Sus scrofa: one gene and its partners. The protein of the gene in region 2 interacts with the protein of the main gene of each other region in a pairwise test. Links are inferred from orthologs where the notes say so. Each region holds a gene or a part of one and is shown on either strand. Other genes may lie near its edges.

The links.
Region 1: the proteins of NCK2 (region 2) and CHN1 interact in binary tests that used the Homo sapiens proteins (3 or more experiments, as listed by UniProt). The two-hybrid records come from large-scale screens. The link is inferred for Sus scrofa from reciprocal best matches to the Homo sapiens genes NCK2 and CHN1.
Region 3: the proteins of NCK2 (region 2) and TRIM27 interact in binary tests that used the Homo sapiens proteins (3 or more experiments, as listed by UniProt). The two-hybrid records come from large-scale screens. The link is inferred for Sus scrofa from reciprocal best matches to the Homo sapiens genes NCK2 and TRIM27.
Region 4: the proteins of NCK2 (region 2) and NCKIPSD interact in binary tests that used the Homo sapiens proteins (3 or more experiments, as listed by UniProt). The two-hybrid records come from large-scale screens. The link is inferred for Sus scrofa from reciprocal best matches to the Homo sapiens genes NCK2 and NCKIPSD.
Region 5: the proteins of NCK2 (region 2) and CPSF6 interact in binary tests that used the Homo sapiens proteins (3 or more experiments, as listed by UniProt). The two-hybrid records come from large-scale screens. The link is inferred for Sus scrofa from reciprocal best matches to the Homo sapiens genes NCK2 and CPSF6.
Region 6: the proteins of NCK2 (region 2) and EFS interact in a two-hybrid assay, tested with the Homo sapiens proteins (2 studies listed by BioGRID and IntAct). The two-hybrid records come from large-scale screens. The link is inferred for Sus scrofa from reciprocal best matches to the Homo sapiens genes NCK2 and EFS.
Region 7: the proteins of NCK2 (region 2) and TRIP6 interact in binary tests that used the Homo sapiens proteins (3 or more experiments, as listed by UniProt). The two-hybrid records come from large-scale screens. The link is inferred for Sus scrofa from reciprocal best matches to the Homo sapiens genes NCK2 and TRIP6.

What each region holds. Positions count from the first base shown.
Region 1 is NC_010457.5:80,733,245-80,735,746, reverse strand, and holds part of CHN1 (N-chimaerin), read left to right. Parts: intron 1-2,101; coding exon 2,102-2,207; intron 2,208-2,502. UniProt on the Homo sapiens protein: GTPase-activating protein for p21-rac and a phorbol ester receptor. Involved in the assembly of neuronal locomotor circuits as a direct effector of EPHA4 in axon guidance.
Region 2 is NC_010445.4:49,064,534-49,067,857, reverse strand, and holds the end of NCK2 (cytoplasmic protein NCK2), read left to right. Parts: intron 1-2,629; coding exon 2,630-2,824; downstream 2,825-3,324. UniProt on the Homo sapiens protein: Adapter protein which associates with tyrosine-phosphorylated growth factor receptors or their cellular substrates. Maintains low levels of EIF2S1 phosphorylation by promoting its dephosphorylation by PP1.
Region 3 is NW_018084804.1:142,269-145,768, forward strand, and holds part of TRIM27 (zinc finger protein RFP), read left to right. Parts: intron 1-579; coding exon 580-810; intron 811-3,500. UniProt on the Homo sapiens protein: E3 ubiquitin-protein ligase that mediates ubiquitination of various substrates and thereby plays a role in diffent processes including proliferation, innate immunity, apoptosis, immune response or autophagy.
Region 4 is NC_010455.5:31,371,185-31,374,684, reverse strand, and holds part of NCKIPSD (NCK-interacting protein with SH3 domain), read left to right. Parts: intron 1-35; coding exon 36-240; intron 241-432; coding exon 433-523; intron 524-767; coding exon 768-1,258; intron 1,259-2,487; coding exon 2,488-2,658; intron 2,659-2,816; coding exon 2,817-2,903; intron 2,904-2,991; coding exon 2,992-3,130; intron 3,131-3,211; coding exon 3,212-3,292; intron 3,293-3,469; coding exon 3,470-3,500. UniProt on the Homo sapiens protein: Has an important role in stress fiber formation induced by active diaphanous protein homolog 1 (DRF1). Induces microspike formation, in vivo. In vitro, stimulates N-WASP-induced ARP2/3 complex activation in the absence of CDC42.
Region 5 is NC_010447.5:33,524,388-33,528,467, forward strand, and holds the start of CPSF6 (cleavage and polyadenylation specificity factor subunit 6), read left to right. Parts: upstream 1-1,280; 5' UTR 1,281-1,376; coding exon 1,377-1,436; intron 1,437-4,080. UniProt on the Homo sapiens protein: Component of the cleavage factor Im (CFIm) complex that functions as an activator of the pre-mRNA 3'-end cleavage and polyadenylation processing required for the maturation of pre-mRNA into functional mRNAs.
Region 6 is NC_010449.5:75,718,948-75,723,039, forward strand, and holds the start of EFS (embryonal Fyn-associated substrate), read left to right. Parts: upstream 1-1,292; 5' UTR 1,293-3,260; coding exon 3,261-3,503; intron 3,504-4,092. UniProt on the Homo sapiens protein: Docking protein which plays a central coordinating role for tyrosine-kinase-based signaling related to cell adhesion. May serve as an activator of SRC and a downstream effector. Interacts with the SH3 domain of FYN and with CRK, SRC, and YES.
Region 7 is NC_010445.4:8,712,051-8,716,020, forward strand, and holds the start of TRIP6 (thyroid receptor-interacting protein 6), read left to right. Parts: upstream 1-1,170; 5' UTR 1,171-1,329; coding exon 1,330-1,438; intron 1,439-1,730; coding exon 1,731-1,858; intron 1,859-1,950; coding exon 1,951-2,076; intron 2,077-2,363; coding exon 2,364-2,750; intron 2,751-3,046; coding exon 3,047-3,140; intron 3,141-3,248; coding exon 3,249-3,418; intron 3,419-3,904; coding exon 3,905-3,970. Other genes in the region: SLC12A9 (solute carrier family 12 member 9), read left to right, coding at 1-481. UniProt on the Homo sapiens protein: Relays signals from the cell surface to the nucleus to weaken adherens junction and promote actin cytoskeleton reorganization and cell invasiveness. Involved in lysophosphatidic acid-induced cell adhesion and migration.

The DNA of each region.
Region 1 (2,502 bases), on a different chromosome or scaffold from region 2:
CTGTTCCTCAGATGTTACAGGCACACTCTCCCCACAGGACCTTTGCACGGCTGTCCCTCTGCCTGGAACCATCTTCACCCGCATCTCTCCATGGGCCTCATTCCCTCATGCACAGTCTGCACTCAGCACCTTCCTTCTTCCTCAGGTCTATCCTGACTACCCCACTTAAAATTGCACCCTCTTCTCAGCCCTTCCGGTGTTTCTTATCCTGCTGCTTTTTCCATAGCAGGTGCCTCGTTCTAATCTACCGTAAACTCTAAGATAGAATAGTCATTGTTTCTTATCAGTCACCTCTCAGAGAAAGTAAGCTCTCCATGAGCAGCGAATTTTGCTTATTTGCTAGGCCCCCAACACTGTCCCTTTCACACAGTCTCCTTGTAAAGATTATAGAAATTAAAAATGAAACAAGTTACTCTTTTTTTAATTTCTAGAACACTGTAGTTTCAAATCAGTCCAAGGTTAAAAAAAAAAAAAAAAAAAAAACCTAGCTAAATAAAAACTAAATGGGATTTTTTTTCTCTTAATTCTAGAAATTAAGTGATTGAATTTCAGGATCTGAGATATTATTGCTCTTATGAATCAGCACACTTTAGAAGCCCCAGGGGTCAAAGAACCATGAGTTATTTATCATAGCAAAAGGCAAATAATATGTTCTTTATTGCTAAGAAATGAATGAAGAACTTTGGGGAAGCTTTGGGCAGAAATTGTAAAATGACCTAAGTTTATTTGAATTAAAAAAGCTTCAGTCACTGTTCACATTCTAAAATTTATCGGTGCTCTGCCAGTGCTAGGAACTTTTCACATTCATCTTATATCAGTTTTTAACTTGACTCCAATATGTTGCCATTGAGTTGGTTTGTTTTATAAATGAGAAAAAGTAGGATTATTGTCATAAATGTTATATTCTGATCAGATGTGGCCTTCCAGCATTTCAACACTGCTATCCAGCATTTCAGGGCACCCCATCTTCCTGATAATTGGGTTGAAGCAAGAACGTGCTGGGTCTTTTTTTTCTTTTTTGGTCTTTTGTCTTTTTAGGGCCACACCCATGGCATATGGAGGTTCCCAGGCTAGGGGTCAAATCAGAGCTGTAGCTGCAGGCCTACACCACAGCCACAGCAACACCAGATCTGAGCCACATCTGAGACCTACCCCACAGCTCACAGCAACTCGGGATCCTTCACCCACTGAGCGAGGCAAGGGATTGAACCTGCAACCTCATGGTTCCTAGTCGGAATCGTTTCCATTGTGCCACTATGGGAACTCCTAGGGTCCTCTTTTTGAGAGCACAAAATTTTAAAGAGGTTTGTTGTTTCTGAATATGGGAATAATTGGTGAATTAAATGTACTCGGTGACCTTAAAGGAATGTGGGGGTTTTTTTGGCCAACAGAGAACTGAAATATCCAAAGGAAGAGGATCTTCATCAACATTTATACCTTCGTAAGAGCCATGTTTATTTCAGGGATCCTGCTGTCACTCAGAACATTTGGAATTGATTTCAAAGTCTGCCTTGCATTTTCCTGACTATCCTAAGTGGTACAATATTTTTGTGCTTTGAAGGTAGAATTAACTTTTTTATATTCCAAAGTAATTTAAAACTAAAAGTCTAATGAATAATGGAAGTAAATATTGGATGATCCATTTCTTGGTTTAAAAAGGGAGCGTTGGGCCGGTGTAGCTTGTGTATACCATTGCTGAAAGGAGGTTTTCACAGTATTTGGAACAGTGCAGCATCACTTAAATATGTCTGTAGTGTTCTAAGATGACCTCATTTGAATGTATATGTTTTCATCCTCATGCACATATGTGTCAGTTTTATAGTTACAACCTATACATCTGATACATGGTTTCCAGACTCCAGGACCCTCGAGTGAAAACACTGCATGCTCTCCCCAAAAGTCCAAGAACATGCTAATGCCACACTGACATTAAACTTTTGGCAATCTGAGATTTGAACCTTAGAAAACATTTTCCAAAACTGTGGGCAAGGACTGGTGAGAAAGCATTTCCTACCCATATGGGGAGATCACCACAAGAATAGAATTAAATGGACCATTTGTACCAATTTTTCTCTCCGTGGTATTCCTCTTGCTATTGTAGAAATCATGGATCCTGATGAGCAATTAGAAACCCTCCATGAAGCACTGAAACTGCTGCCGCCAGCTCACTGCGAAACCCTCCGGTACCTCATGGCGCATCTGAAGAGGCAAGTCACAGACTTGGAAATTTATACTGGTACCACATTCACATGTTAAGAGTCAAAGAGAGCAAAGGTGAAAGGACATCCGATCCACTGAATGAATAAATAAATGCACAGAGAACTTGTCTCTTTGTGTGAAATCGCACACGTTGGGAAGGAATGCTAAAAATATTCTGCACTGCAATACTGAATGCAGACTTGACTCTGACATAAATGGATTTGCAGTTTCAGTATTTGTGTGCGAACATACTAGAAATACCAATGTTCTGCCAGGGACTTGGATTCGTTTTTGTGGAAAGGG
Region 2 (3,324 bases):
CTTGCTGAATATTGAGTCTATGATCTACCAGCTCTGAGTCACCTACTCCCTCCATATGATGAACTGATTCAAGTAGCTGTACATACAACTACCTCAGTGCCTGGCTTGTGCTAAGCTCTAAAACCGAGATCACCCTCGACCTTTATCTAAAGGCACAGAATGCATGTGCTTATAAAAACGAGCAGGAGCTTGGCTTCCTATCGTGGCTCAGCAGTTAACAAATCCGACTAGGATCCATGCGGATGCAGGTTCAATCCCTGGCCCCGCTCAGTGGGTTAAGGATCCGGCATTGCTGTGAGCTGTGGTGTAGGTTGAAGATGTGGCCCAGATACTGCGTTGCTGTGGCTGTGGTGTAAGCCAGTGGCTATAGCTCCGATTCAACCCCTAGCATGGGAACTTACATATGCCACAGGTGCGGCCCTAAAAAAAAAAAAAAAAACCAAACGTCGCTTCAAGACAACACAAAGCCCCAGGAGAGAGCTGAGCAGGTCCTGGCATGTTTGTGCTGCTGGACACAGGGCTTCCCCTCGTCCACCGAACTGACTGCAGTGTGACAGTGGTGGCAGGGCTTCCACGTGCAGAGCACCTGTTGGGTGATACCTGTTTGAGTTTGTTCTCTTTTCAGAACCACACACAGCATCTGACCTGGATGGTGATGCTGAGGCCAGCTTGCATTCATCTCGTTTGTCAGTCCTGTGATAATCACAGTGATTTGAGAATTGTGCAAACAATTACTGAGAGTACCCTTCTGTGCTGTTTAGAATATGATGTTGATAGGGCTGGTTGACAGGATCATCTGTGACATCAGGATCCCTGATGGGTCATTTCTCTTTTTTTTTTTTTTTTTTTGAGGGTCCACCCAAGGCCCCCCACACCCCATCCCCACCCGCCCTCCTGGGCTGGCTCAGAAGATCTCTGCCCCATGAGGGTTCCTTCCTTAGACATCTGGTTGGGGAGATAATTTTCAGGTTCTGTGTCCCCCTCCCCAGCCTGTGCGGGCCCCCAGTCCTCTAAGGGCTGTGATTCTGAAAATAATACGTAGCCCAAGACCTAATCAGAGCCAAACCTTCCTGTCTCTTGCTTCGGTATCTTGGTAATTGTAATGGTGCTGCTGTGAATATGAACATTAAAGTACATGTATCTTTTCGAATTATTGTTTTTGTGGGTTTTTTTTTTTTTTTTTTTTTTTTCAGATAACACGCCCAGGAGTGGAATTGCTGGATCATGTGATAGTTCTGTTTTTTGGTTTTTTTTTGAGAAACCTCCATACTGTTTTCTGTAGAGGCTTCACCAGTTTGCAGTTTGTATCCCCAGCAACAGTGTACGGGGGTTCCCTTTTCTCCACATCCTCACCAACATTTGTTATCTGTGGTCTTTTTGATGCTAGCCATTCTGACGGGTATGAGATGGTACCTCATTGTGGTTTTGATTTGCATTTCCCTGATGATTAGTGATGTTGAGCATCTTTTCATGTGCCCGTTGGCCATCTGCACATCCTCTTTGGAAAAATGTCTGTTCAGTTCTTCTGACCACTTTTTAATTGGGGTTGTTTGTTTGATGTTGATTTGTATGAGCTGTTTGTATATGTTGGATATTAACCCCTTATCAGTCACATCATTTACAAATATTTTCTCCCATTCAGTAGGTTATCTTTTCGTTTTAGCAATGGTTTCCTTTGCTCTGCAAACACTTTTAGGTTTAATTGGGTTCCATTTGTTTTTGGGGGGGGGTTTGGTTGGTTTTTTGTCGTTTTAGGCCTGCACCTGCAGCAAAGGGAAGTTGGCAGCATAGGGGTCAAATCAGAGCTGCAGCTGCCGGCCTCCACCACAGCCACAGCAACGCAGTCTGGGATCCGAGCCACATCTGTGACCTACACCACAGCTCATAGCAACACCGGAGCCTCAACCCACTGAGTGAGGCCAGGGATACTAGTTGGGTTCATTACCACTGAGCCACAACAGGAACTCATTTGTTTGTTTCTGCTTTTATTCCCTTTGCTTTAGGAGATGGATCCAAAAAACTATCGCTGCAATTGATGTCAAAGAGTGTTCTACGTTTTCCCCTAAGAGTGTTATGGTCTTATATTTAGGTCTTTTCATTTTGAGATTTTGGTGTGTGTTTATGGTATTAGAGTCTTGTAATTTCTCTGATTTACATGTAGCTGTCCAGCTTTCCCAGCACTTCTGTCCTTTCTCCATTACATATCTTGCCTCCTTTGTGGTAGATGAATTGACCCTAAGTGTGTGGTTTGCTTCTGGGCTCTCTGTCCTGTTCCTTCGATCTGTGTGTCTTATTTTTGTGCCACTACCATGCTGTTGGCTGAACTAATAATAGTGGTAGAAGTGAAATTTCTAGCTGCTGCCACTTTTTCCAAATCCAAGGAATAGCTTGGGCACCAAAAAATTAACACTGGTGAACCCTGGTGCTGTACATTCCATAAGGAATCTCCAGTTTTCAAATAACTAAAATACATTTAGCACCAAAACTGCACTAAGCACAAGGTAATTTTTCCTTTGATCCAGAGCATGAGCATCTCCATGGCCCCCGGGCCATTCTGCACACCGGGGTGGAAGCGGAGCCCGGCGTCCCTCCGAGCCCGGGGCTAACCCGTGTTCTCTTTCCTCCACAGCCCAGTGACTTCTCCGTGTCTCTCAAAGCATCAGGGAAGAACAAGCATTTCAAGGTGCAGCTCGTGGACAATGTCTACTGCATCGGGCAGCGGCGCTTCCACACCATGGACGAGCTGGTGGAGCACTACAAGAAGGCGCCCATCTTCACCAGTGAGCACGGGGAGAAGCTCTACCTCGTCCGAGCGCTGCAGTGACACCACCGGGTGCTCCGCGCTCCCTGAGCCCGGCCATGCACCCCAGAAGAAGCCCACATCCTGGGCCCTCCTACCAGCCGGCCCCCGGGGTTCGTCCTGCACCACTCTCTCCGCCTGGTTTCCCTTCTGTCCGGGTCGGTTTGTTTTCCATCTGCCCCCTTCGGCATCCCAGGCCCCCCCAGCCGGCTCTGGAGGCGGGGAGGGGGCCATGGGCCCAGGGCTCACCTGTTCCTTCTCCATGGAAACAGCCTTAGTCTGTGGACATCGCTCACGCCATGTGGCCCCCCTTCAGGACCCGGGCGCGGTTTGAATGCACCGAAGCTGCCCTTACTCCTGAGCTACAGCACCCTCAACGGCGGGCCTGGCTCTGGGCGGCACCTGCCGGGGCCCTGGATCCGGGTGCTGGGTGCTCACACAGCCCCAGACTCCGGGGGGCGACCCCACGCGCTCCTAGCAATACTGGGCCCCCCGGTGAGACAGGAGGGAAGAAGCTGTCCAGT
Region 3 (3,500 bases), on a different chromosome or scaffold from region 2:
CCTGCTAGTCTTTCATGGCTCCCAGTTGCTGTTAAGTCCTTGCCCTTTAGCTTGCCAGGCTTCAGGGCTCTTACCTTTTTCTAGCCTCTTCCCCAGCACTTATGTGCTCCAGCCATACACAACCATTTTCCTCCCCTTCCCACTCATTAGATTTGCCCATGCCATCTCTTCTGCCTGGAAGGCTCTCCTGCTCTTTGACCACATGGCAAACTTCTATTCCTCTTACAAGAATCTTCTTGAACATTGCTTCTGTGAAGACTGTGTCAGCTTCTACTGCAGATTGTCACCCTGTCTTTGCGTATCCATCCATGATTACATATATCACATGAACCTGACTCTCGTTTGACTCAATTCCTTGAGGGCAGGGTCTATATCTTGATTATCCCTGGGATAATAGTTCTTAACTCTTGTATATCCAGTCAGTAAAGACTGGAAAAAATGAGGGAGGGAACACGATGCTTATTTCAGTACACCTGAATGAAATGAGGAAGTCTTGGGCTGGATAGTCAGGGGAGAACTATGAAGGGCTCTAGAAGTAGCCTTTCCTCTCTCCACTGCCTTTCCCTGTCATCCACACAGAGCCTGACCCAGATGGAGAGGGAGAAGATCGTTTGGGAGTTTGAGCAGCTGTATCACTCCTTGAAGGAGCATGAGTATCGCCTCCTGGCCCGCCTTGAGGAGCTAGACTTGGCTATCTACAACAGTATCAATGGTGCCATCACTCAGTTCTCTTGCAACATCTCCCACCTCAGCAACCTGATCGCCCAGCTGGAAGAGAAGCAACAGCAGCCCACTAGGGAGCTCCTGCAGGTAAGGCTTAAGAGTCCCTGCCAAGACGGCTTCTGCTAAAAAGTCTCCCCTTCTCTTTGCCAAGCAGTATCCAGGGCCCCCTACTCCCCTGTCAACTCTGTGGGAGTAGCAAGGGCTTGTCAATCTCTCTCCTGGTGGGGGGAAAATGTATGATAGAGGCCCTGGTTGAAACACCTTGGGTCAGTCAGTTGCGTTGTCTCACCTAAAGGGCAAAAGGAAGGCCTAATGCTGAGGCCTGTCCTGCACTGATAAGTAGTCTGATCACAGGCAAGGCTCTCCACCTCTCTGGGCCTCCGGGACCTCATCTGTTCATTATGTAATGAGAGGTTCCGCCCACATGTTATTTAAAGATCCTTCTCACTCCAGTATCCTGTGATTTAACTAACACACATGAGTGGAGGACCCCAGCCATAAAACAACAAGCACTTGAGCAGGAGTGGTTAGCCCAGGCAGTCTTGTGATTTAATCTGAATAGTTTGGGTGATAAAGCTACAATAGATCCAGCCCAGCAAGACCACAGGAAAGAAGCTGATGCCTGTCTTGTCTTTGTTCATTCAGTGCATATTGTCTATTTCGGGTCAGGCACTATTCTAGACACTGGAATTAAGTGGTGAATAAGCTCTCCTGAAATTTGAATTCTTTTTTTTTTTAATTTTTATTTATTTATTTTTTAATTTTTATTTATTTATTTATTTATTTTTGCTATTTCTTGGGCCGCTCCCATGGCATATGGAGGTTCCCAGGCTAGGGGTCGAATCGGAGCTGTAGCCACCGGCCTACGCCAGAGCCACAGCAACGCGGGATCCGAGCCCCGTCTGCAACCTACACCACAGCTCACGGCAACGCCGGATCTTTAACCCACTGAGCAAGGGCAGGGACCGAACCTGCAACCTCATGGTTCCTAGTTGGATTCGTTAACCACTGCGCCACGATGGGAACTCCTGGGGGCCCTTTCTAAGTGGCATTTATCAATACCTAGAATACCTGTTTGTTCACTTCTTTATCACATAATCTCAACATCAGAATTCAAATTTCAGGAGTTCCCGTCGTGGCGCAGTGGTTAACGAATCCGACTAGGAACCATGAGGTTGCGGGTTCGGTCCCTGCCCTTGCTCAGTGGGTTAACGATCCGTCGTTGGCGTTGCCGTGAGCTGTGGTGTAGGTTGCAGACGCGGCTCGGATCCCGCGTTGCTGTGGCTCTGGCGTAGGCCGGTGGCTACAGCTCCGATTCGACCCCTAGCCTGGGAACCTCCATATGCCGCGGGAGCGGCCCAAAGAAATAGCAAAAAGACAAAAAAAAAAAAAAAAAGAAAAGAAAAAGAAAGGGCCCCCAGGAATTCCCATACGGCACAACAAGTTAAGGATCCGGCATTGTTTTGATCCTTGGCCCAGGAACTTCTGCATGCTGGGGGCATGGCCAAAAAGAAAAGAAAAGAAAAGAAAGATGCGCAAACCATGGTCTACCACCTGTTTTTGTCTGTCCTTAGAGTTAAGTATGCTCTTCAGAGATGTGAATGGTTGGGAAAAAAAAAAAATCAGAGGACTTTCATGATATGTAAAATTATTTCATTGTCCATACATTTTGATTGGAACATAACCAACCATGCCCATTCATTTATGTATTACTGTCACAGCAGAGTTGAGTAGTTGTGAAAAACTGTGGCCTTTTCCTTAGAAAAAGCTTACCCACTCCTGCTTTAGATTAAAACGAGAGGAAGGCTTAACCTTGAGCCTTAATAAACACCAATATTTAATTGCCAGGAAGAGAAGGAAGAGCTTGCAAAAGGAACAGTTGACCAGAGAGGCAGGCCAGGAAGGAAGACTGTTTCAGGAAGGATGGAGTGGACATCAAAGTGTACTGCAGTTGAAGTGAACCGGTATGAGGGCTGATAGATATTTGATTTAAAAACACGGGCATCGCTGACAGTCTTAGGGAGAACCGCCACAGTGGAACATCTTGGGCAGGAACCACATGAAGGGGAGAGTTGTGATGCAGAGGGTGAATGGAAACTGTAAGAGTAAATGACTATTTCAAGACGGAAGGGGATGTAAAATAAAGAGCTGGATGGGAGTGGGATTGTGGCGCTTCATGGGGAGGGAATGCTTGCAGAAACTAGCTAAACATTTTAAAAGAAAAATGGGGAGGAGGAGCTAAACATGAGGAGGAGGGAGTTCCCGTCGTGGCTCAATGGTTAACGAATCCAACTAGGAATCTTGAGGTTGCAGGTTGGATCCCTGACCTTGCTCAGTGGGTTAACAATCTGGTGTTGTCGTGAGCTGTAGTGTAGGTTGTGGCTTGGATCCCGTGTTGCTGTGGCTCTGGCATAGAGTGGCGGCCACAGCTCTGATTAGACCCCTAGCCTGGGAACCTCCATGTGCCACAGGAGCAGCCCAAGAAATGGCAAAAAAGACAAAAACAAAAAAACCTAAATGAGGAGGAAACTTGCTAAACATCTTTTAAAGAAAAGTAAGATCTGGGGTGGAGCGCCTAGGTTGTAAGGATTCAGGTGAAGAGAATTAAACTATAAGGATGAACTAATCACTAGGGTTGCTGAGAAAACAGAAGGGAACGGTCACTAACGTGTATGTGCAAGACTTAGTTTTTTGGAAGATCCTCTGTTGTATGGGAAGCAAGGACGGTGAGGAGAGGAAGATGCAGGCAAGTTGTGATGTTTGGTAGCCAAAGCCCT
Region 4 (3,500 bases), on a different chromosome or scaffold from region 2:
TGTAACTCCTCCAGTAATCCCTGTCCCTCCCTTAGGAAGCTGATCCACCACCGGAAAGAGACCCTGTCCCGCAGAGGCCCCTCAGCCCCCAGCCCTGCAGCTATGACCTCATCCACCAGTGACCATCATTTGGATACGGCTGCCGCTAGGCAGCCCAATGGGGTGTGTCGAGCTGGGTTTGAGCGACAGCACAGCCTGCCCAGTTCTGAGTATCTTGGGGCAGATGGAGGCCTCTACCAGGTACATGGTGAGAACATCCTGGGGAAGGGAGGGGGGTGGGGCCTAAGGCTTTGTCCAGAGGCTCAAAGGGTCCATTTGGTCAGTGATGCTGCCTGGGACCATAGTCCTGCCCATGCTAGGAGCTCAGGCCCCTAGTCAGGTAGTACTGTAGATGGCAGCCTGTCTCCTCAGATCCCACTTCTGTCCCCCTAGATCCCACCACAGCCTCGCCGAGCAGCACCCACTACGCCACCCCCACCTGTGAAGCGCCGAGACCGCGAGGCCCTGGTGGCCTCAGGGAGTGGTGAGAAGTTGGGGTTGCAGGAGTTGGTGGGCACCCTGTACTTGGAATGGTTGCTCTGCATGCATCAGGGAACTGGGGGCTCCAGGCTTGGGGGGAAGACCAGGCACATGTTGGGGCAGTTGGGGGCTCTGGGCTTGGTGGGAAAGGTCTGGTGGAGGACCTATGCTGGGGGCAGGGTCTCTGGGATTGAAGGGGTAGGGCTTCCCTGGGGCTGCCCACCATAGCATGCCCTCTCTGCCTACAGGCGGCTGCAATACCACGCCCTCCGGGGGCAGTTCTGTGTCCAGCGGCTCCTCTGTCAGCAGCACCTCCCTTGACACGTACTATACAGGCTCCAGCTCCTCTGAGCTGGGCCCCAGCTGCTCACCCACACCCCCACCTGTGCCCCGCCGAAGCACCCATACTACTGTGTCCCAAGCTCAGCCCCCTCCCTCCAAGGTGCCAAACCCTGAGCCCCCTGCAGAGGAGGTGGCAGTTGATACAGCCTCAGCCCCTGATGAGCTGGAGGCCCTGGGCACGCTGAGCCTGGGAACCACAGAGGAGAAGGCGGCAGCTGAGACTGCCGTGCCCAGGACCATCGGGGCAGAGCTGATGGAGCTTGTGCGGAGAAACACCGGCCTGAGCCATGAGCTATGCCGGGTGGCCATTGGTGTCGTGGTGGGTCACATCCAGGCCTCTGTACCGGCCAGCTCACCTGTCATGGAGCAGGTCCTCCTCTCGCTGGTAGAGGGCAAGGTAAGGGTGGCAGCAGGGCCAGGGGCCTCCCCATCCTGGGGACACCCTACTGCCCCCACCCCATCCCCACCCTCACACTGTGTCCAGCCTTTAACTGATATATATTTGATGAGCTCCAGCTCTTGGATTCATTGAGCTGAGTGCTGGGGACATTTGGGCTGATCCCTGAAGGAGAAGAAGAGGAAGAGTATTCCAGGCAGAGGCTCAGCTTGGACAGGGGACCATGAGGCAGGACTGAGCTTGGCTCACGTGAGGAAGTGGAATAAGGTCAGCATGGTTGGAACACAGGGAATGAGGTGTGGGAGCAGGTGAGACCTGAGGCAGGTGACAGATGAGACAGATGCGGGTGGCCAAGAGTTCTCTTGGGCTGTAGGGAAGGAATAGACATAGGGCATGAGAGATGGCAGTGCCTTGCTGGCCTTGGCAGTGGAGAGAAATGGGTACTTTGAGAGCTATGATGAAGGCTTGAGTGCTGACTTGGATTTGAGTGGGGTAAGTGGACATCATGGAGTGGGTGGGATCCTTTGCCAAGGTTGGGGCACTGGGTCACGGAGCAGGATTAGAAGCCATGAGCCCAGTCTGCACAGTGGGGGCCAGATGGGCTGGAGTCTCTCCTCAGGGTTCCATGGCTCCCACAGCTCTGGTTTGGGGTGTGGGAAGCAGTGAGTCACTGGGCTTGCCGGTGCTGGGACACTGGCCCACAGGGACATGGAAGGTGGGTACATGACAGGTCTGGTTCCACTTTGTGTAGAATCAAGGCCTGGAGTCTCAGAGTCATATTCAGGCAATGACAGAATCCATGGCCTTCCACATAGAGGTTATTTACCCAGGTCTGGTACAGGAGGCAAGTTGTTGGAAAACACCCCACAGATGTGTCTCATGCAGAATCCTGTCCCACAAGGTTACCAAGACTTGGGGGCAGTGGAACTACTTGGAGAAAGGGGTATAGAAATGGGCCAGTGCCCTTGGGGGCCTCACTGTTGAAGGATGGGCCTTGGGAACAGGAATTTTATGGGAGCTTGATGGGGAGCAGTGGGGAGGAGGGAAGAGTAATAGGAGCTAGTCCCCTCACTGGTCTTGGGAGGATGCTGGCTTGGGGCAGCTCTGGGAGGTGAGGCTGGAGCCCCTTGCCTAACACCTCAGGTCTGAGTTGAGTTCCAGGCCTGGGGGTCTCCTGAAGATGGTGAGGGGCAAGTGTGCTGAGCCAGGCCTCACCCTCTCCTCCCCAGGACCTGAGCACAGCTCTGCCCTCAGGGCAGGTCTGCCATGACCAGCAGCGGCTGGAGGTGATCTTTGCAGACCTGGCCCGGCGGAAGGATGATGCCCAGCAGCGCAGCTGGGCCCTGTATGAGGATGAAGGTGTCATCCGCTGCTACCTGGAGGAGCTGCTGCACATTCTGGTGCGGGTGGGGGGCTCCCAAGTGTCCCTTAGTGTGTAGAACAGCAACCCTTCCCTGCCCCATTCCTCCCAGGTGCTCAGGAGTCTCCCCTGCTGATACTGTGCTCACACATGGCCACTGGCACTCAGTGTCTCCATCCCACCTCTTCCTCCCCACAGACAGACGCAGACCCTGAAGTTTGCAAGAAAATGTGCAAGAGAAATGAGTTCGAGTCTGTCCTGGCCTTGGTGGCCTACTACCAAATGGTGTGTGCGAGACAGAGGGGAGGGGGCATGGAGGGACCTGGGTAGAGGTAGAGTTTCCGGGCATTGAGCACATGGGGTCCCCTGCCAGGAGCACCGGGTGTCACTGCGGCTGCTGCTTCTCAAGTGCTTTGGTGCCATGTGCAGCTTGGATGCGGCCATCATCTCCACGCTGGTGTCATCTGTGCTGCCTGTGGAGCTAGCGCGGGACATGCAGACAGACACGCAGGGTGAGTGCGGGCAGCTTCCTGCCAGCTGGAGGGGTCCCACCATCTGTAGGGGTCATGACTGACTGCTCCGCTCCCCTGCAGACCACCAGAAACTCTGTTACTCTGCCCTCATCCTGGCCATGATCTTCTCCATGGGGGAGGCAGTGCCCTACGCACACTATGGTAAGAAGGCAGGTCGCTGGCCCACAGCCAGCTGGAGATGGGACCCGTGGTCTGAGGAGCTGGGGACCCACCGACCCTAACCTGACAGAGTGTCCCCAGGGTTCACAGGAAACCAAGGAGGCTGGACAGGGTGGGGGGTAGGACAGGGCTGCAGACTTCTGTATGTCCCTCTCCCAGAGCATCTGGGCACACCCTTCGCCCAGTTCCT
Region 5 (4,080 bases), on a different chromosome or scaffold from region 2:
AGATATCACTTGGCTTATCATGATTTCTGGGCAGTATGCATCTTATGAAACAGTCTAACTTGGATTTTAAAAAGGGTGAAAAGAAGTAAAGAATGGGAGGTTTCAAGCTGGAGAGACAACTTTGGATAAAGTACAGTAGTCCTCACTTACCTGAGGGCATATATTCCAAGATCCTTAGTGGATGCCTGAAATTGTGGATAGTACTAAACTCTACATATACTGTTTTTTCCTCTATTAACAGGTACGGTGTAAGAGGTGCTAAACAGAGAGATGATTCACTTCCAGGGCTGGTTGGAGTGGGATGGCTAGAGATTTCAAGACTCTACTCACAGAGTTCCCATCCTGGCTCAGTGGTTAATGAATCTGACTAGGAATCATGAGGTTGCAGGTTCAATCCCTGGCTTTCCGCAGTGGGTTAAGGATCTGAACCTTCTTTAAGGAGGGACTACTACATTCATTGGCAGCAAATGCTTTCCTTATTAACCCGAGACTCGGATACACTATTTAGCTTCTTTAGGCCTCAGTTACCTCTCTCATCTGTAAAATTAGATATTTGGACCTAATGACACCTTTTCCAGTTCCCTCTCCGATATTCTGTGATTCTAAGAGGCCCCTCGCTTCAACATACCTCTACCTTACTGTGGTGGTGGGAAGGGGAGGGGGGACGAACCCCAGAAGGACTGCCTTCGTGTTAACGGCATTTCAATTACTCCAGAGAAAACCAACTGCAGATCAAAGGAGGAAAAAATGAAAGGCAATGAAGGGAGGAAGAAGAGATTAAAGAAGAGGAGGGAGATACCAATGGAAAGATAAACAGCATGCAAATAACCTAAGTAGCATGCAAATAACTCAAGATAACCTTCTAGGGTACCTAGTTTTTACAAGGCAACCCTATCTCAGTAGCCCTCTGAAGATACAGGGGTAAGACACTGCTCTCTTCCCAAGGCGCTCACAGAAAGCGGGGTTACACTTCGTATTTCATCTTGGACCTAAAACTTCCACCTCTCTAAAAACCCTGGCTGTGAGAAATATAAGAAAAGCCGACAAATGCAAATATTACCAAACGTTTGAGAGTGCCAGAGCTCCGAGACAACAGTCTCTGGAAACAAGTGGGACCACCCCCTGCCCCGCCCCCCGAGCCTAACCCAGACACACAAAAGAAACCGCCGGTGCACTGGGAGCTGCAGATTCCGCTCTCGGCGGGCCGAGCCGGCAGCGGCTGAGGAGCCCGGCGCCCCCGGCCGCCCCCGCCTCGGCCCTTGGGCCTCGGAAGTGACGCAGCGCGCCCCGCCCCCGCCGCTAGATCCGCTGCTGCTGCCGCGGCTGGCGGACCTGCAGGAGGCGGCGGCGGCGGCGGCGGCCGAGGCCGAGGGAAGATGGCGGACGGTGTGGACCACATAGACATTTACGCGGATGTGGGCGAAGAGTTCAACCAGGTACGTGAGGGCCCGGGCTCACGCCGCCGAGTTGGGCGGCGCTACGGGCGGGAAGAGGACTCGGGGCCCGCCGCGGGCCGCGAGCCGGCGTGGCTGCAGACCGTGCGCCCTTGGCGCCTGTGGGCCGCGCCGCCCGACCCCGGCGCGGCGCCCCCCTTGCCCGTCGTTCTACCGCGTCGTTTCACGGGCCGCGGGCGCGGCGACCTGCCACGGGGCTCCGAGCGCGGACGCCGGCCGCCGTGCAGCCACCTCCTGCCCCTCCCGCGCCTCCGCCTCGCTCTCCATTGTTGGCGGCGGCCGGCGGGCGCTTCCCGCCGCGCTAGGCCCGGGCGGCAGGACGGCGTGTGCGCGGCGGGGAGAACGGCGGCCCCGGCGCCCCCTCCCCCGCCGCCGGGGCGAGGAGGAAGCCCGGCGGGGCGCGCGCCGGCCGCCGCCTCGCCCCCAGCCCTGCCGCTCGGACTCCGATTCCTCCAGTCGCTCCATTTTGTCTGCCTTTCGGTGCACGGTCGCCTCATGGAAGGCCGCGTTCACGGCCCTTTGTATCCCGCGCGCCCTGCTTCCTGGGCTCTCCTGCTCGCGTTTGCGACAGGTTTCGGCGTGGTGCCTTCCTCCTCCTCCCTTCACTCTTTAGGAAGGAGGCTAAGGTGCGGGCACGTTTGCAACAAGTCCTTTGACTTGGGATCGTGTGTGAAAGTCGGTGGCGCTGGCCCTGCCCCGGTGGTCGAGGGCTTACGGTGCCTTTGAGGCCCAGCTGCTCTTGGCCTTTGTGATGAAAATACCAGTTAGATCGGTGGCTCGGGCCAAAAGGAAGACTTGGAAGCGCGATGGTTGGATGGAATAAAAAAGGTAGCTCACCAAGAGATCAGAGTTGTGATTAAAGAATTTCACACGCATTTCATATGGTATAGTTTTAAAATAAAGGTTGTAGCAATGAACCGATTTCCAAAAGCAAAATGTTTAGTGTCCTCCGAGGAGTTAAGAGAGGCCAGAGAAAGTGAGAATGCAAGGTTTTTTTTCTTGTATCGCAGGCCGCAGTTGCCTAGAAGGACTAGCCGCAGGAGCTGTGATGTCTGATGTTGAGCATCCTTGTAAAAGGTTGTTACTAGAGTAGTGACGTTTAAGCTGTAAACCTACTGTTCACATTTTTACTGCCTTTTATGTAGCAACACATTTTAAAAAAATCAAATTGTGCCCGACTGCAGTGTACGTAAAGGCTTTATTTTTTTCATATTTTCCAAGTCCTTATGAGAAGCTCAGTAAAATTCTACTGGTTAATGTGTTTTTGTGGGTTTCGAAAAAACCCTCTCCATTAAGACTCTTATTTGTGACGCAAGATTTTTTTTTTTTTTTAATAGAGAAAGCTGGAAATCCTTGCAGGTCTTTTTTTGAAGATTGATTGTATCCCTGTTTTAAATATTAGAAAAAAAATTCAGTTAGCTTTAATGTTTCCTATTCCGTTTATATATTTAAATGTAACCCGTTGTAATCAAACGTGAAGTTTGAAAATCTGTCTTCTTTTTATTGTGTTTACATTTTGGATATGTGATTCCTGAGATGTGTCAATGACATTTTAGAAAATTACCTTGAGTGCTACATGGTCAGATTCTAAGCTTTTTTAAGGTCTGTAGACAAAGACTTCTAGGAAATTTCCTTTCCTTTTATTAAATGAGTATAACATTGCATAGAAAAGAGGTCCATATCTGCAAGTAAAGGAACAATTAAGTGTTCAACAGTCTTCGTTAGCTTTCTTACAAGAAAATTTACTGTTTTTCTCCCCATGTTAAAAGAAGAATTGAGCTACACTTTTAGAAGTTGAGCTTTCTTCAGAACCTTTTAATGGAACATTTTTTAAGCTTTGGCATACTTAATTTGGGATGGACATTTCTCTAATCTGTATAGCTGGATGGAGTGATACTTGCTTATCCCTGTGCAGTAACTAGTGCTGACTGAGCAGGAGGTAAGGAGAGATTAAAATTTTGTGGCACCAATGAGGAACTGCTTTATAGGGTTCTTGTAAAAATGTAACTTTTTGTTGACTTGTTCCTATAGCATATGTTTCTCACATAGTTGTATGATTTTACCAATAAAATCTTTGTACTTTTGAATAGGTTAATGGAATTAAATAGAGGCTTTGTTGTTGTTATTGTGCATTGATTGGCCTTTGCAATCTACTGCTTGCTGTGGTAGTTCCTGGTTGAAATATGGCCACAAAAAGATGGTTGGTTGTTTTCAAGGTTTGTCCTTCATTTAAAAAAATGTAGGTATCATTGAAATATTTTTCTGAAATCTTGTCAGAATTAGAAGCAACTACAGAATTACTGTGATTGATTTAATTCACTTTCTAATTCGCTGGCAACCTTACTTCTACTGGTTGCTCTAGTAAAGTGACTCTTATTTTGTTGTAGTCGAGTAAAATGTTTTGCTAAATATAATGGGTCATGGCTTATTTTGACTTCTAAACTACTGTAAACATTTAAAAACAACCTTTAATTAAACTGTATTCTCTTAAATTCTTTGTAGTTTATGTATTTTCCATTTTCTTCTGTTTTAAATGGCCATACTTTTATGATCCTTTTTTCCATGTGTGTATTTTGGTAAAGCTCATTATAAACCTGTTGCAGAAAGTGTAAGACATTACATTTTT
Region 6 (4,092 bases), on a different chromosome or scaffold from region 2:
TGGCCTTGCTGGGAAGGGACAAGATTGGAAGAGAAGACTGGGACCCAGAAGGCCAAATGGAGAGGTTCCTTCCTTCCTACCCCCTGAAGAATGGCAAAGACAAGCCTGAAGCTGAGGGCCCTCCTGTCTGAGGCAGGGTCTTAGCAACCCACCCAAACTAACCTGGGGCTCAGAACCCTCCCTGAACAAGTCAGAATCATGTTAAACTTTTGTTTGGGAACAAGAGGGCAGAGATGAGGCCTAAGAACAGGGAGAAGTCTCCTCCTGCCCTCAACAAACACTTTGAGCTCTCACCAAGGTTCAAGCTGTGGGGGGAGTGGGGAGCCATGCAGAGCCAAGGTGAAGAGGAAGAGCCATTGTGCCATGGACTTTACACATATTTACTCACCAAAGTCGCTGTCCAGATGAGGAACTGAGCAACAGAGATGTTGCAGATCTTGACCAAGGTCACCCAGCTGACAAAACAGGATTCACTCCTGAGTCTAACTGGCTCCACTCCCTGCCTGAGCACTCCAGAAACACAGACTTGTTTTCCTGCAGGTTTGCACTCGGCTCCCCAGTCACCTAGCCGCAGGCACAGGGCCTCAATGCCCACATTTCAAACCACCGTTTTGCCAGCACTTCCTTCCTGCTTAGTCTTTTCTGGCTTCCATCTATTTTCCCCTTGTGCCAGTCAGAGCGGTCATCTTTGGGAACTGGGTTTCCTGCCCACCTCCATCTTGAGCCCCACCTCCATCTTGTGCCTTGGCAGCCCCCTGGGCAGTGGTCATGCCAAGTCATTCTCCAGCTGCTAAATTCCAGGCAGCCAGACCCCCCAGGGCTGTGGTCTGGAAGAAGCTGCATCAGGCTGGAGCTGGAATGGGGGAGCTCTCTCTTCAGATGCATCTGTAAATTTAAAAATTCCTCTCTCAGGGTTCCTGTTGCAGCGCAGAGGAAAGGAATCTGACTAGTATCCATGAGGATGCAGGTTCGATCCCTGGCCTCGCTCAGTGGTTTAAAGATCTGGCATTGCTGTGAGCTCTGACGTAGGTCTAAGACAGGGCTCGGATCTGCCATTGCTGTGGCCAGCAGCTGCAGCCTGGATTCAACCTAGCCTGGGAACTTCCATAAGCCACACGTGTGGCCCTAAAAAGCAAAATAAAGTTCCTCTCCCATCCTAAGAGAGTCTGAGTCTGTTCATAGGTGCCCAAGCAATGAGGGGGTCGGATGGAGCTGGGGCAGGTATCCCCCCTCCCCTACTGGCTCCCTACCTTTCCTCCCACCTACCTGGACACGGACACGTGGGCCCGGAATGTGGGGTGGGGGGGTGCTGGTAGGTGGGAGGAAAGGTAGGGAGCCTCTATCCAAGGCCTCAAGTTCACAAAGCGCCTTAAATTAGACTTCTGATGTTATCGCCAAATGAGGTTTTACACAGAGCCATTGTCTGTTCACGTGTTTGAAGTGTTAATGCGCTAAATGTAAACATTGAAAATATACCACAGCTTTTCAATCCTGTTTGGCATCTCACTTTTTAAATTCCAGGAAGCTCAAAAACGGAAGAAGGAAGGTTCTCTGGAGTTTCTGAGGGGCCTTGATGTATGCCCCCAAAGGAAGAACGCGGAGTGGGGGCTAGGTGGAGGGAAGTTGCGCCCACAAAGGAGCAGTAAGTAATAGGGCAGGAGAGGTGTGGGGACCCCAGAGCCCCGCCCTTTCTGCTGAAGCTCCTGAGGGGCCAGAACGCAGCTCCTCTGAAAGAGTCCTATCCGCTGTCCTCAGTTCTCCTCCTCCTGGCAGCAGGAGTGAGCCAGAGTGACGGCGAGGGACAGGCCCGGACTGGCTGAGGCGGCACGACCGGCGGGGCGGCAGCTCTGGGACCCGACGCTCAGGCAGCACGTTCTCTCCTCAGGTCCAGAATCCGTGTCCAGCCCCAGCCCCGCGACCTGCCTCCCCCGCAGAGAGAGGCCAAGCCAAGAGAGTGGAGCGGCTCCGCGGAGGACCCCAGAAAGACGGAAGAGGCGCGCTCCCTCCCACGGGAAAGACAGATGTGGGGCTACTGAAAGGCGGGCAGAGAGGCGCGGGGCAGGCGGGGGAGAACAGGAGCGTGACCGGGAGAGGAAAGCTCTCCGGAGGGAGCGAACCAGACCACCGGGAGGTCCGCCGCGACGTCGGGCAGGAGCAGGCGCCGGGGAGAGGAGCCAGGAGGGGGCGTGCAATTTGGCCCGAGGGTCCTGAGCTGAAACTCAACACCCGCCTTTAGAGGGAACGTCCCCCTTTCCCCTCCGCCCCTTCTCTTCCCCTCCCTTTTCCCCTCCCTCCTTTCTCTTAATCCCTGGGACTGAGCCCCGCGCCGGAGCGGAGAGGGCCCGAGGGGAGGAGAGAGGAGCTGCACTGAGAGGGCGCCGGGAGCCCGGGAAGGGGAGGGAAAGGGAGCTGCGAGCCGGGGGTGAGCCTCGGGGCCACGCGCCACCCCTCCCCCCGGAGCCTTCCTAGTCGTCTCAGTGTCCCCCAAACCCCACCTTCAGGCGAGTCCGCAGGACCCTGGTCCCTGCTCCTCCTTCGCATTCTCTTTGGTCCTTCTTTTGCTTTGTGGCCTTTCTCTCGGTTCCCAGAGACACCTGGGCTGCCCCGAGCCCTGGGGCGCGCGGAACGGCCCCACAAAGGGTGCGAGTGAGCAGGACGAGGGGGCTGGTTCCGAGGGCCAGGGGGCTGAGGGCTGGAGAGGGGCGGGTGGGCCCCTCTGGCGCGTGGGGAAGGCCGTTCCGCCCCTTCGAGCCGGGCCCTCGCGCGGGTGGCGAGGCGCCGTCGCCGCGCCCCCAGATCCCCGGGCGAGTGTGCCTGCGTGGGAACCCGCCTCCCCAGCGGCCGCGGTCTCAGAGCCCTTCGGCGCCAGCCTGGCCTCCGCTCAGCAACTCGGAAGAGTTTAAAGAGGGACGAACGTCTCCGTCCTGATCCCTCCGCCCTCCCTCGGCGCCGGACCCCAGCCCCAGGAGCACCGCACTCCAGGCCGGCTCCCGGCTAAGGAGGGTTGGCTCCTAAACTCGCTCGTCCAGCCCGACCGTCCCGGCAGCTTCTCCCTGCCCTCGGGGCCGTCCTGAGCGGCCCGGGGAGGCGTCGAGGCGCAGCCCCAGCTCCCGCCTCTTCTCCTTTCCCGGCCCTGGAAGGGAGGTTTGGGCCCATGCGGACCCGGGGTGCCCCCGCGGCCTAGGGCAGGCAGCTCCCCGGCCTGGCCCACCCGGCGGCCCCCGGGAGGCCGCGGGACAGTGCAGAGCGCGCGCCCTTGGATGAGGTCCCGCAGCGACGCCCTGGCCCGCCCCGCTCCTCCTCCTGCCCGACCAAGCTGCCTCCCATTTGGGGAGTTTTGTGGGTTTTCTTTTTCCTCCTCCAACCTCCGCGGAGGCCACGACTCAGGCGCCGCTGCTGGGGGCCGCCTCCATGGTGTGGGGCAGCCGCTGCTGAAGTCAGCGAAACAGCCTGGCCTGGAGCTGGCCACGCGGAAGGCCAAGGCCATGGCCATAGCCACGTCGGTGAGTCCACCAGAGAGAGGAGACTGCTGGGCAGAGACCTCCACAGTTTGTCCTGCACTCCTGTCACTTTGATTTCTGCCTTCTCTTTGTCTGGCTCCTTGGTCTCTTGCTTCTCTAGGTGGTTGTGTCCCCCTCCTGGCACTTTGTTTCCCTCACTCCCTCTTACTCCTCGTCCCAAGCTCCTTCTGGGTCTGGTTTCCCCTTCTCCCTTCCCCCTCCCCATCCTCCTTTTTTTCTTTCTAGAGGCTGTGCCTGGAAGGAAGGGAGGGGGCAAGCCTGAATCCTAGCTACTCCTTTGCGGTGGCCACAGGAACAGATGGCCACTGGCTGTTGGCAGGGGCTTGTGATTGAAGGGCTAGTAAAAGGTTAGGAGGGGGATGAAAGAACGGAGATAGCTCCCAGAAAAGTGGGAGAGGCCAGAGGACCCAAGGAGGCCCTTCCCAGAGGAGGGATGGAGGAAAGGGGAAAATAGAGCAAAAGAGGGAGAGTAGTCAGGGAACAAAAAAAAAAAAAGTGGAGGAGGGGAGGTGATGTCAGCCAGCCTCTGGCCACTTTTCTGGGACTGGTGACAAAGGGAGGAGACAGCTGG
Region 7 (3,970 bases), about 40 Mb from region 2:
CATGGTGCCTGCTTGGCACACTGCCCGCCTCCGGATCTTCTTGTGCCTGGGGCCTCGGGAGGCCCCAGGGGCAGCCGAGGGGCGGCTCCGGGCACTGCTGAGCCAGCTGAGGATCCGGGCAGAGGTGCAGGAGGTTGTGTGGGGTGAGGGGGCTGGGTCCGAGGAGCCTGAGGAGGAGGAGGAGGGGGACTTTGTGAATGGCAGGCGCGGAGACGCAGAGGCAGAGGCCCTGGCACGCAGCGCCAACGCCCTGGTTCGGGCCCAGCAGGGGCGCGGCAGAGGAGGAGGGCCTGGTGGGCCTGAGGGTGGGGATGGCGAGGAAGGGCCCACCACCGCCCTCACGTTCTTGTACCTGCCTCGGCCGCCTGCTGATCCCTCTCGCTACCCTCGCTACCTGGCGCTGCTGGAAATTCTGAGCCATGACCTGGGCCCCACGCTGCTCATTCATGGCATCACCCCTGTCACTTGCACTGATCTCTGATGCCGGTTCCTAGTAGAGAGTGTCCAGGTCGAGTGGCCCACTTTGCTTGGCGGGTTGAGGAGGGGAGGTGCTGCCTCTTGCCCTCCTTGTACTTGGGACTCGGACCCTGGTGGAGGTATTAGGGGAACCTGGTCTTTGGGAGAGGGTCCTCGCTGTGCCCAGGGCAGCTGAGCCGGCGGCCACCACTGGCGAGAAGTCAGCAGCCCTCCCCCACGCTGGCCTCCCTCCCTTCACTGGTGCCTTGACGGGGCTGGGTCTCCGCTTGTGACTCTAGGCTACCTCAGTCTCCCCGCCCCTTGCCCAGTAGACTCCTCACCCTTGAGGTTGTGATGTTTTTGTTCCGTTTTATTTTTCTAACTGCTGAATGTGAATAAAAGACCAAAACACTAGGTGCTGGCCGAGCGTTTCTGGAGGGAGCCGGTAGGGGGGACAGAATGCGGGACGAATCTGTATGCGGGGAGGGGCACTGGAGCATCCCAGCGCAAGGGGGCCACGTGCGGACTTGGGGCACAAGAGCCCCGTGTTAAAGGAGGCTGCCTGAGCCTCCCACCCCCACCCCCCGGGCCCACGCTCTGGAGGAAAGCCGCCCCGGCTCGCAGGAGGGGGCCGACTAGGGGAGGGACGGCAGTTTAGGGCCTAGGGGGCCACGTGACCCTCCCCCAGGAATGCGATGACGTCATCGGGGGCGTGGCCGTCCCCAAAATTGGGGAGGAAGGGGAAAAAAAAAAGCCAGAAAAAGTTTCTGTCCTGGAGTCCCAAGCGAGGTGTCGGGGGGAAGAAGGGGTCAAAGTCAGAGCCCTGGGCTCCGTGGGGCCCTGACCGCTGTCTGGAGTCCCCCATTCCAGACCATGTCCGGGCCCACCTGGCTCCCCCCGAAGCAGCCGGAGCCCGCCAGAGCCCCTCAGGGGAGAGCGCTCCCCCGAGGCGCCTCCGGGCCGCCGCCAGCCCACGGAGCAGGTAAGGCAGCCCCAGTGCGGTGCGGAGGCCACCGGGCCACCAACACTCAACTCTGCCCTGCTGCTCTTGCCTCCCGCTGAGCCTGCCCCTGTCGCCCCTTCCCCAAGCCCGGCTGGAACCCGCCGCGCCCCCGCCCTCGCCCTCTCCCAGCCCTCACTGCCTCCTGCCCCATTCTCGGACCCCAGATGCGGGGGGAGAGGGGTGAAGAGGGACCCAAGACCGGTGGCCTCCACAAGTGTCACCCTCCTCTCCTTCCCCATCCCCACCTTGGCTCTCTCTTCCCTCACCCCAGCACTCCAGTCCCACCCCAGGGTCAATTTTTGCCCCCTCCCATCTGAGCAGTGTTACCAGGCCCCTGGGGGACCGGAGGATCCGGGCCTGGCCTGGGTGGGGTGCCATGGAGCACCCCAACGCTCACAGGTGAGCACCGCGATTAGGGGGTGTGGGGGGGACTTAGGGCAGGAGAAGAGGCCATATGAGTTGCATTCTCCCTGCTTTTGCTCTATCTCCAGGGGCTCCCCCCGGACAGGGGGGCCTTGCGCCCAGGAAGTCTGGATGCTGAGATAGATTCCCTGACCAGCATGTTGGCTGAGTTGGACGGGGGTCGGGGTCACGCCCCACGGCGGCCTGACCGGCAGGTGACTCCCCGCTCCTGTCCCTCCCTGTCCTTGTCCCCCACCCCTCCCCCGCAACCTGGTTCCTGCTCTGTATTCTCACTCCTCTTCTCCCTCCACATGGGGGATGCACCCACCAGCGAGGAGGAAGCTGGGCCACCAAAACGTACTAGGTTGCCAGCCACTCAAGGACGGGCCCTTGTCAAAACCAGTGCTTACCTGGGTGCCACAGACACAGGGTTCAGGGGTTCCACAGATGTGTGTTCTGGATTGGGCCCAGCTCATGCCTTCTGGTCTGTGCTTCTCTCCAGGCTTATGAGCCCCATCAGCTCCCTGCCTACCGCTCAGGCCCTGGCTCCCTGAAGCCGAATGGAGGGAGTGTTCCTCCCACACCACTCCCAGCGGCCTCCTATGGCGGCCCCACGCCGGCCTCCTATGCTACGGCCAGCACCCCCGCCGGCCCTGCCTTCCCTGTGCAAGTGAAGGTGGCACAACCAGTGAGAGGCTGTGGCCCCCCCAGGCGGGGGGCCCCTCAGGCCTCGGGGCCCCTCCCCGGCCCCCACTTTCCTCTCCCAGGCCGAGGTGAAGTCTGGGGGGCTGGCTACAGGAGCCACCGTGAGCCAGGGCCAGGGGGTAAAGAGGAGGCTGCCGGAGTCTCCGGCCCTCCGGGAGGAAGAGGAGGCGGGTACGGGCCCCAGGTAAGCCCTGGGCCCTGGGATTTGGGGTCCTCAAAGACAGTTGGATGCTGACTGGGTGGGGTGGGGGTGGGGGTTGATGTTCCAGTTTTCAAGCTCTGGATTCCCTGGGGGCGGGGGGCAGGTCAGGAAATAAAGGAGGGAGGGGACTAGATCTGCACACTGGCTCCCAGAGGCACACCCCTGGCCCCTGGGCTGGGGTGTTCTCCTGTGAGCTTTTGGGTGGAATTGCCTGATCACTCTCGGTGACAGTATTGGGAGGGAGAGGTAGGATTGAACCCCTGATTCTCACCTCCCAGGTCCCCCTGAGCCAGCCTCCCGAGGAGGAACTTGAGAGGCTGACCAAGAAGCTGGTGCAGGACATGAACCACCCGCCCAGTGGGGAGTACTTCGGTGAGCTGCCCCCCGCCACACACCCCGGGCAGGGGGTGGGGGGAGGTCAGGTAGACAGTGGGTCTGGCTTCCCAGTCTATGGTTGACCCTGACCCATCCCGTCCCCAGGCCGGTGTGGTGGCTGCGGAGAAGATGTGGTTGGGGATGGGGCCGGGGTTGTGGCCCTGGACCGTGTCTTTCACGTTGGCTGCTTTGTCTGTTCTACGTGCCGGGCCCATCTCCGGGGCCAGCATTTCTATGCCGTGGAGAGGAGAGCGTATTGTGAGAGCTGCTATGTGGTGAGTGGTGGGGGCTGGCGGGGGGTGGTGGCAGATGGAGTCAGCAGCAGGAAGCAGGGGGCTTCCATCCAGAGTGGGAACTAGGTGTCCAAGCCCCAAAGAATAAGGCTCGAAGCAGGAGAACTAAAACTAATAAAGAAAAAGGCATGGATGAAATAAGTAGCTGTATACTGGTTGCTGGAGAGAAAGGACAACATTCCCCTGTAAGAGTGAGGCATTTATTTTCGGTTTAGGGGAATGTGCTGAATCCCCACAATGCCCTGGTGAGGCAGCTGTTACTCCTGAAGGAAACTGAAGGTCTGAGAGCTTAAATATCTTGTCTGGGGAAGCTGCAGTGCTAGGATTTGCACGCATACCTGTTCAAGGCCACCTTTAACTGAATCACATGCAGGGGGCTACATAAATAGGTGGGGGAGCTGGCAGGATGCCTGTAAGGGCTGCCATGGGTCACCCCAGCCCTGACCTTCCTGCTCTCCTTCCTGACAGGCCACCCTGGAGAAGTGCTCCACCTGTTCCCAGCCCATCCTGGACCGGATTCTGCGGGCCATGGGG